Oryctolagus cuniculus: one gene and its partner. The protein of the gene in region 2 binds, or shares a complex with, the protein of the main gene of each other region. Links are inferred from orthologs where the notes say so. Each region holds a gene or a part of one and is shown on either strand. Other genes may lie near its edges. The genes, in order: POLR2G and ERCC2.

Region 1 (4,387 bases), on a different chromosome or scaffold from region 2:
TCCAGGCCAACTCTCCCTCCCAGTGCCCTGATCTCTCCTCCCTCTGCCTGACGTCTTCCTCCCCACTCACCTCATCCATTGTCTTGTAGCATGGTGGGTTGGAATTGGGATCAAACTCCATCTCTGATGGGATAGACTGAAAGGAAAAGTCAAAGTAGGTCAACACTGTCATTTCCTTATCTATACACTTCTTTGGGAGGCAGAGAATACCCATCCGCTGATTTACTCTCCAAATGCCCACAGTGGCCCAAGCCTGGGGCCAGAGCCAGGAGCTGGGAACTCCGTCCAGGTCTCCCACCAGGGCAGCAGGGACCCAGTCACTTGAGCCATCACCAACCGCCTTCGTAGGGTGCACATTAGCAGAGGCTGGAGTCAGCAGCCAGAGATGAGTATAGAACCCAGGAGGGTCAGCACTTTCAACAGATGCTTCAGTAGATGACCACAAACGGGCGCATCTTTCTAGCCCCTACCCGGTGTCCCAGCCTACCCGGTGTCCCAGACTTACGTGTCGAGAGATGAAGCAAGACATTGGCCCAATTTCTGTGAAGAGTCCAACCTACAAGGAAAACGAATGATTTCGCTTTTTCTTCCCCTCCAAGTCTTTTGTTCCCATTTTTACTTGATTCCTACAATTTTACTCATGTTCTATGACCGGTATGAATTGTGGCATTTGTTTGCACTTCTCTTTTTTATTAACATTTCATTATGTATTTAGCTATTTTATGTACCTGAAACGCAGAGTGACAGAAAAAACAGAGAATCAGATCTTTTGTCCAATGGTTCAGTCCCTAAATGGCCCCAGTGGCTGGGACTGTACCCAAGACCCCAGAATACCAGCCAGGTCTCCCACGTGGGTGGCAAGGCCCCAGCACGTGGGTCATCTTCCACTGCTTTCTCAGGCACATTAGCAGGAAGTAGCACAGGAAACAGCACCTGGATGCCAACCGGCACACTGATACTCAACAATACTGGAATGTAAGTAAGCCTAACCCACTGCACCACAATGCCAGCACCAATCTTTCATTTTAAGTTAAGTAAAAACAGTGCAGTAGTAAAGAGCCTACACCTAGGACTTGAGAGAGAGAGAGAGAGAGAATCTTTCATCTGCTGGGTCACTCTCCAAATGGCTGCAATGATTAGGGCTGGGTCAGGCAAAAGCCAGGAGCCAAGAACTTCCTCTGAGTTTCCTACATGGGTGCAGGGGCCCAAGGACTTGGACCATCCTCCACCACTTTCCCAGGAGCATTAGTAGGGAGCTAGATGGAAAGCGGAACAGCCGGGACTTGAACCTGCACCCATATGGAATGTCGGTGCCGTATGTCATGGATTTAACCCGCTGGGCTACAGCGCTGGCCCCAGGACTCTACCCTTACGACTATTAATACTGAATCACGTGCCTCCTGAGTGAGGCAGGACCAAGATTCCTAGAACCATTTGCCAAGTGAGGAAACTGAAGTACAAAAAAGTGACTTAGCCAAAGGCACAGAGTTAGCAAGAGGAGCAGGGACCCAAACCAGCTCCTCCCAGGGACCACCCCGTTGCCTCCTCTATGTGAGGACTCACCTTGTTGACCTGAGTGACAACTGCATCCACGACCTCACCTTTAAAGGGCCGGAAAACAATGGCCTTGTACTTAACAGGATAAAGCACAAAGCCTCGGCCTGGCTGAATCACTCCTGCGCCGATGTTGTCTATGGTGGTGACAGCAATGACGAAGCCATACCTGTGAGGAGGATGAGAAAGAGAAAGGTTCTATATGCGGAAGGGCCTCTAACGCCATCTGCAGCAAGAGTCATCGAGCCTGGGAAGGGGTTAAGAGGGGAAGCAGACAGCATCTCTGCCCCCAGAGCGCTTCAGAACCAAGAGAAAGGGCAGGGATCAGCATCTGTAAAGGCCACGCGCTGCTCTCCTGTTTCACAACAAACATCCGAAGTGGCTGCAGTCTCTGACCTCAATCTTCGAGCTGCCTCAGAATCACCTGGGAGGAGCGTGTGAGCAGGCAGAGTCCCAGGCCTGCCCCAGAGATGTGAGGAGTCTTAGGAACGAACGTGCATCCAGGGTAATCTGGCTTTGCTGTAGGCTCAAGTACCGCCCGGCCCCGAGCTGAGTTCCAGTCCACTCCTACCGCTCTGGGAAGAACCCAAGGACAGTCAAGCCCCAGCCTCCTTCCTTCCTCACCCCGTCGACCCGCATTCTCTGGTCATTCACTCAGGAAACACACTGTGCCATGCCAACTCCCTGGGCTCAGCAGAAACCGAGGGACAAGGGTTAAACTGTGAGCCCCACGCGTGCTGGCCTCATTCCATCTTGTTCTCTGCATGTTCCCAGGGCCCAACACGGGGCCCGGCTCACAGCAGGAGCTCGAAAAACGCGCAGTAAAAGAATGAGAAATCTAGGCTGAAGGAAGTTACGGAGCGCTCCCCAGCGTGGGTGGCAAGGTGCTGCAGCCCACGCTGGGAGGGGGGCGGCTGCAGGTACAGGGTCCCGTGTGCGCGCCGCCGAGACCACACGCACGGCCACAGTACTCACTTGCCAGTGCAAGTCCCCTCCACCTCGGTGAAGAGCTTCTGCTTCACGGTGTTGAGCAAGTTAGGGCCAAAGTAGCGCGGGTGCAGCAGGATCTCGTGCTCCAGGGAGATCTGCGGAGACAGCGGAACGCAGACGGAGGATACGGGGCAAGCAGCAGCCCTCCGCACCGGCGCCCCGTTCCTCCTCTCGACCCAGCCCTCGCCATCACCCCGCGCCCTGCTCACGTGGTAGAACATCTTCCCCGACGAGACTCTAAAACAAGCCGCCACCAGCGCTACAAACACCGACCCACTGGCTTCACCGGAAGCGCACGCCGCGCAGCCGCCCCTCGCTTCCGGGTCCGCCGGAAGTGGGCGGGACTCCTTCCAGTCGATGGATACGATTGGGCCTCCCTGTGGAGGATTGATGAAGCTCCGCCCCTCGGTTCCTCCGACTGGCGCTCAAACCTTGCCCGCTCCGCCAAGTAACTTAAAGTATTTGTGAACTGAATATTTTAAACTGAATTAATTCCTGGTGAAAGATGACATAATTATTTTAACAGCGGAGTCATTCAGCAAGTATTTTACAGACTGCTTTCCCATAGTCAATGTGGTGTTAAGTATCTAGGTGGATAGTAGCCTTTTTTTTTTTTTCAAGGTTTTATCTATTTGGGAGGCAGAGTTAGAGAGAAGTAGAGAGAGAGAGGTCTTCCATCCCCTGGTTCACTCCCCAAATGGCCGCGAAGGCCGGAGCTGGCCCAATCTGAAGCCAGGAGCCTACTCAGGGTCTCCCACGTGGGTGCAGGGCCCGAGGACTCAGGCCATCTTCCACTGCTTTCCCAGGCCATAGCAGGGAGCTGGATCAGAGGTGGAGCAGCTGGGACTCGAACTGGCGCCCATATGGGATGCCGGCAATGGAAGCCGCGGCTTTACCCGCTATGCCACAACGCCAGCCCCTGCTCCACTTCTGATCCAAATCCCTTCCAAAAGCCTGCGAGAAGCAGTGGAAAACGACCCAAGTGCTTGGGGCCCTGCACCCACAGAGGAGACCTGGAAGAAGCCCCTGGTTCCCAGCTTTGGCCTGGCCCAGGCCTCATCGTTGTACCCTTTGGGGAGTGAACCAGTGGATAGAAGACTTGTTCCTTTCTCTCTCACTGTAACTCTGACTTACAAATAATTAAATAAATATTTTTTAAAAAAATTGTTGGCGGCTGGCGTTGTGGTGCAGTGGGATAAAGTCATGACCTGCAGCACTGGCATCCAATATGGATGCCGATTCAAGTCCTGGCAGCTCCACTTTTTTTTTTAAGATTTTATTTATTTATTTATTTATTTATTTTGAGAGGTAGAGTTACAGAAAGTGAGAAGGAGAGACAGCAAGAAAGGCCTTCCATCTGCTGGTTCAGTCCCAAAATGGCGGCAACGGCTGGAGTGCTGGCCCCAGCTCTACTTCTGATCCAGCTCCCTGCTAATGTACCTGAGAAGGCAGCAAGTCCTTGGGCCCCTGAAACAGGGGCCTGTGGGAGACCCAGAGGAAGCTCCTGGCTCCCTACTTTGGCCTGAGCTAGCCTGGTCATTGTGGCCATTTGGGGAGTGAACCAGCAGATGGAACATCTCTCTCTCTCTCTCTCTCTCTCTCACTCTTTCTGTAACTCTGCCTTTCAAATGAATAAATAAATCTTTAAAGAAAATTTTTGATAAAAACATACTAAAGATGTTTTCAGTCACTGCCATAATTTTGTAAGTGGAGATGGCTGGTATAGAGGTCCTTGTCCTCCCATAAAAAAAAATTCAAGCAAGAGACAGAGATTAGTGATAAGCAAGACAACAAGGTTTGATGAGTAGTGTATCCATTAGAACAGATGGGCGGCTGGCGCCGC
Region 2 (3,798 bases):
GGAGCTGTGCCCGCCCCTCCTCCCCCTCCAACCGCCCCTGCTGTCCCCAGGGCCGCAGCTGGCGCCTGAGCGAGGCCCCGAGGAGCCTCAGCACCAGCACCCAGGACCTGAGCCCCCGGTGAGGCCGGATCACGTGGGCCTGGCGTCTCAGCAGGACTCGGGGGGCGGGGCGGGGACCCCCTGCGATTAAAGGCTCTGCAGTCCCTGAGGCATCGGCCTGAGCTTCCTGCAGGGCCCGGGGAGCGCGGGAGGCACCTCAAGGCCTGCCAGGCGCTGGCGGTCCAGGCTCACAGCTGCTGCGCGATCTGCTCAATCCGCCGCAGCGTCTCCTCGGATTCCAGCTGCTCCAGGCTGAGCAGGGACAGGCCCAGCTGGTCCTCCTGCAGGGGCCAGGGACGGCTGTTTGCAAACATTGGCACTGGCAGGGAGACATCCCAGGGCCCTTCCTGGAGGAGGGGTGGCCGGGCCGTACCCGGTGGAAGGGCTGTGCCATCTGCCGCAGGAAGTACTTGGCGACCTGGACACCCTCGTCCACAGTCAGGTTCAGGTTGGCGTCCGTCAGGTGCTCCTGGATCCAGCGCGGCAACTTCCCCCGCTTGTCGGCCCGCGCAAACCGCTTGGAGCAAGAGGAGGGCGGCGTCAGGCGGGGGGCGGGGGCCCAGCCGCCCTCTGCCCCGCCACCTCCCTCTCCCGCTCTGGAGGCGCGGGGCAGACCTTGTCTGCGAACACCATGAGGCCGTAGTCGGTCTTGCCCCGGATGGCCCGGCCCACGCACTGGGCCGCGTGGCGCATGGCGTCGAAGGTGAGGAAGTCGTTCTCCCGGATCTGGAACTGGTCCCGCAGGTACTCCAGCCGCGCCTGGGCGAGGAGGCCGCGAGCTGGCCGCTGCCCCGCCCGCGGCCCGGCCCGCGCCGCCCCTGCCCCGCGGCCCGCGGCACCCACCTTGAGGATGCGGCTCTGCGTGTAGACGTAGGGGACGCCGAACATGATGACGGCTCGCCCGTAGTGGTGTACTGCGGGCCGGGCGAGGGGTTAGGCACGGCGCCGGCAGGGGCACGGGGGTGGCCCCTGCCCGAACACAGCGGTCCACTCACCGAAGTCGATGCCCTCGGACACCTTGCCCCGGGCCACCGAGAGCAGGATGGCCCCGCGGCCGTTCTCGCAGGCCTGGGGGCGGGGGAGGCGTGAGCCGCGGCCTGGCGCCCCCTGCTGGGTGCCCGCCCGCCCGCCCGGCCCGCTCACCTCCTGGTACTTCTCCAGCGCGACGCTGGTCTCGGCGCCGTCCTGGGTCTCGATGAAGAGCAGCTTGTTCCTCTGGATGTTCTCAAGGATGCCCTGAGCCAGGACGCCCGCGAGGTCAGGGCCCGGCCGCCGCCCCCGCCATGCAGCTCGCCCCGCCCCTCGGACAAATCTGTGGCCGGCCGCGGGGTGTCTATCAGGACATCCCTGGCCAGTGATTGGTGGAGCGGCTGACTGAAAGCCCGACAGAGCCAATCAGAGGCTACACTGGGATTCCCGCAGGAAACCCACCCCCCACGTGCACTAGCTGGCTGAGCCAGGAGCCCCAGGGCAGCCGAGGTGTCAGGGGACCCAGAGGGCCGCGGTGAGAGCAGACCTTGGGGCTGCAGCCACCCTGCCCGAGGACAAGGCCACGGTCCCGGCCGCGGGCGATGAGTGGCCTTCTCCCGCCATCCCCTGGTACATGCTCGGCCAGGTTCTCTCCTCCCCAGAGAGGTTTGCTCCACCCAGTGCTGCGAGCTGCACCAGGTGCCCCCGAGCAGCACGGGGCAGTCCCCCGGCAGGCCGGGGGTGCCTACCTGCTCGTACCACGAGGCCACGGTGCTCTCCATGTACTGGTAGCTGGTGAAGAAGGCCACGATGCCGTCGGGGACCACGGCCGACATCTCCAGCAGCAGGTTCCCGTAGTTCCGGATCACCGCTGCGCGGGGTCACACGTTGGCCCCGCCCCCTGAACTCGGGGTGCCCAGAAACCCTGCCAAGGCCAGCTCAAGGGCCGTTCATACCTCCCACCCCTCCCAGCCCTCAAGTTAGGGTGCCTACAGTGGAGCGCCCCCCCCCGGGGGGGCCTGGGGACCCCGCAGCCACCGCGCAGGCGCCTACCCATGTCTTCCCGGCTCTCGAACTTGGAGCTGATGGCCACCTGGTCGTTGCCGCGGCCGACGATCTGGGGTGAGTGAGAGGAGGAGGGGAAGCAGCCACCCCTTCGCCTGCACTGCGGGCACCAGGCGCGATCCCGGCCCCGTCACTCCTATTCACGCCCACCCAGTGGGAACGCTACAGCTGTGCGTGGGCTCAGGACTGGCCACGGCCTCCAAAGGACAGGGCCAAGTCCCCTGCTCGTTTGGAGCTTGGCACACAGTTTAAGGGCAGCACCGGCCCGGGGTCCACGCAGAGGCCTCCCCAGGCCCCTCGGGCCGCTTCTCAGCCCCCTGCCATTGGCACACGGGAGGGGCTGAGGCACACACACTCCGAAAGGCCTCCTCCTCCCGGTGAGCCCTGGGCTCAACACATGCTGGGCGCCAGGCCAGGGCTGGGGACCGCGTCAGGAGGCGCAGAGGAGCAGACCCGGGCCAGGGCCACTTGGCTCTTACTGGGCTCCCTGCCCGAGTCCTCGGGGCACTCCCAGGCCGAGCCCAGGTTGGGGTGGGCCCCTAGCCCGCTCTCCCTACGCACCATGGGGCAGAGGCAGACCCGGGCCAGCGTCATGGTGAAGGTTGCCATGGTGACGGGGTGGAAGTCCAGGATCTTGGGGTAGATGTCCAGCGGGGACAGCGTCTGGACAGGGACAGGAGGGGCCTCAGCGGGGCGGGGCCGAGGGGACGGGAGGCGGGGCCTCAGTGGGGCGGGGCTGGCGGGGCCAGCGTCCTCACCCCCGACGTGATGATGACCGACTGGAAGCGCTCGAACACAGGTTTGATGGCCAGCGAGGCGTCCATGCAGCTGTGGGGAGCAGGCGGGGCCGTGAGCACTGGGTCCGAGGGGCCGGGGCCCCCGCCCAGGCGGGCACTCACCTGAAGTGCAGGACGGGGTTGGCGATGGTGGGGGTCCGGTCGTCGAAGGGCTCGATGATGATGGTGAAGCCTGCAGCAGGCGAGCGCGGGCGGTGAGACCCTGGGCTGCGGGCGTGGTCACCGCCGCACCTGACCTGTCCGTCAGGAACCAGACTCCACCCCCTGAGCCCCAGGGCGGCTCCTGCACAGGCTCACGGGGGGATCCCAAAAGGGCAGCACCCAGCCTCGCTCCTGTACTCCCCCGGGGTCCAGGGCCTCGCTCCTGCACATGCCCAAGCCGCCACCTCCCACCCGGGCTCAGTGCCGGCGTCCTGCAGGACCCCCGGGTCGTGCCCGCCCTGCTCAGGAGCCGGCCGTGGCTCCACGCTCCTCTCAGGGTCCAGGATGGCCTGTGGGGCCCCTATGCCGACCCCCCTTCCTGGTTGCTCACAACTGCCTGCCTGACCCGGAAGCTCACTCCCCCAGGGCCTTTGCACACGCTGGCCCCTGGCCGAGGCAGCTCCACGGGTTGCTTGAGGCCTGACTCCGCCCAGAGCCCCCCGCGCCCTGTAGGCACCAGCGCTGGGGGTCCCGCCCACCAGCTTCCCCTCCAGCCAGGTCTCGGAAGGCAGTCTTGTGGCTCTGTTGCTTCCACAGTGCTGGGCCCAGCTCATTCGTTGAATGAACATATGAATTCACATATTTTCTCTTTATAAAAAAAAAAATAATCCAAGCCCCTGCCCTGGGCGCAGTGGTGCTCCAGGGTGGGCAGGGCTGGCACAGAGGA

Evidence for each region.
Region 1: ERCC2 (region 2) and POLR2G share a complex: the UniProt entries of both Homo sapiens proteins name them as parts of the TBP-based Pol II pre-initiation complex. The link is inferred for Oryctolagus cuniculus from reciprocal best matches to the Homo sapiens genes ERCC2 and POLR2G.

The regions. Positions count from the first base shown.
Region 1 is NC_091432.1:8,823,590-8,827,976, forward strand, and holds the start of POLR2G (DNA-directed RNA polymerase II subunit RPB7), read right to left. Parts: upstream 2,906-4,387; 5' UTR 2,766-2,905; coding exon 2,754-2,765; intron 2,640-2,753; coding exon 2,530-2,639; intron 1,724-2,529; coding exon 1,564-1,723; intron 557-1,563; coding exon 506-556; intron 137-505; coding exon 71-136; intron 1-70. UniProt on the Homo sapiens protein: Core component of RNA polymerase II (Pol II), a DNA-dependent RNA polymerase which synthesizes mRNA precursors and many functional non-coding RNAs using the four ribonucleoside triphosphates as substrates.
Region 2 is NC_091449.1:11,485,204-11,489,001, reverse strand, and holds part of ERCC2 (general transcription and DNA repair factor IIH helicase subunit XPD), read right to left. Parts: intron 3,103-3,798; coding exon 3,033-3,102; intron 2,962-3,032; coding exon 2,892-2,961; intron 2,797-2,891; coding exon 2,695-2,796; intron 2,186-2,694; coding exon 2,122-2,185; intron 1,940-2,121; coding exon 1,818-1,939; intron 1,336-1,817; coding exon 1,243-1,335; intron 1,168-1,242; coding exon 1,095-1,167; intron 1,014-1,094; coding exon 943-1,013; intron 859-942; coding exon 715-858; intron 617-714; coding exon 473-616; intron 381-472; coding exon 288-380; 3' UTR 256-287; intron 211-255; exon of another isoform or gene 123-210; coding exon of another isoform or gene 51-122; intron 1-50. Other genes in the region: KLC3 (kinesin light chain 3), read left to right, coding at 51-122. UniProt on the Homo sapiens protein: ATP-dependent 5'-3' DNA helicase. Component of the general transcription and DNA repair factor IIH (TFIIH) core complex, not absolutely essential for minimal transcription in vitro.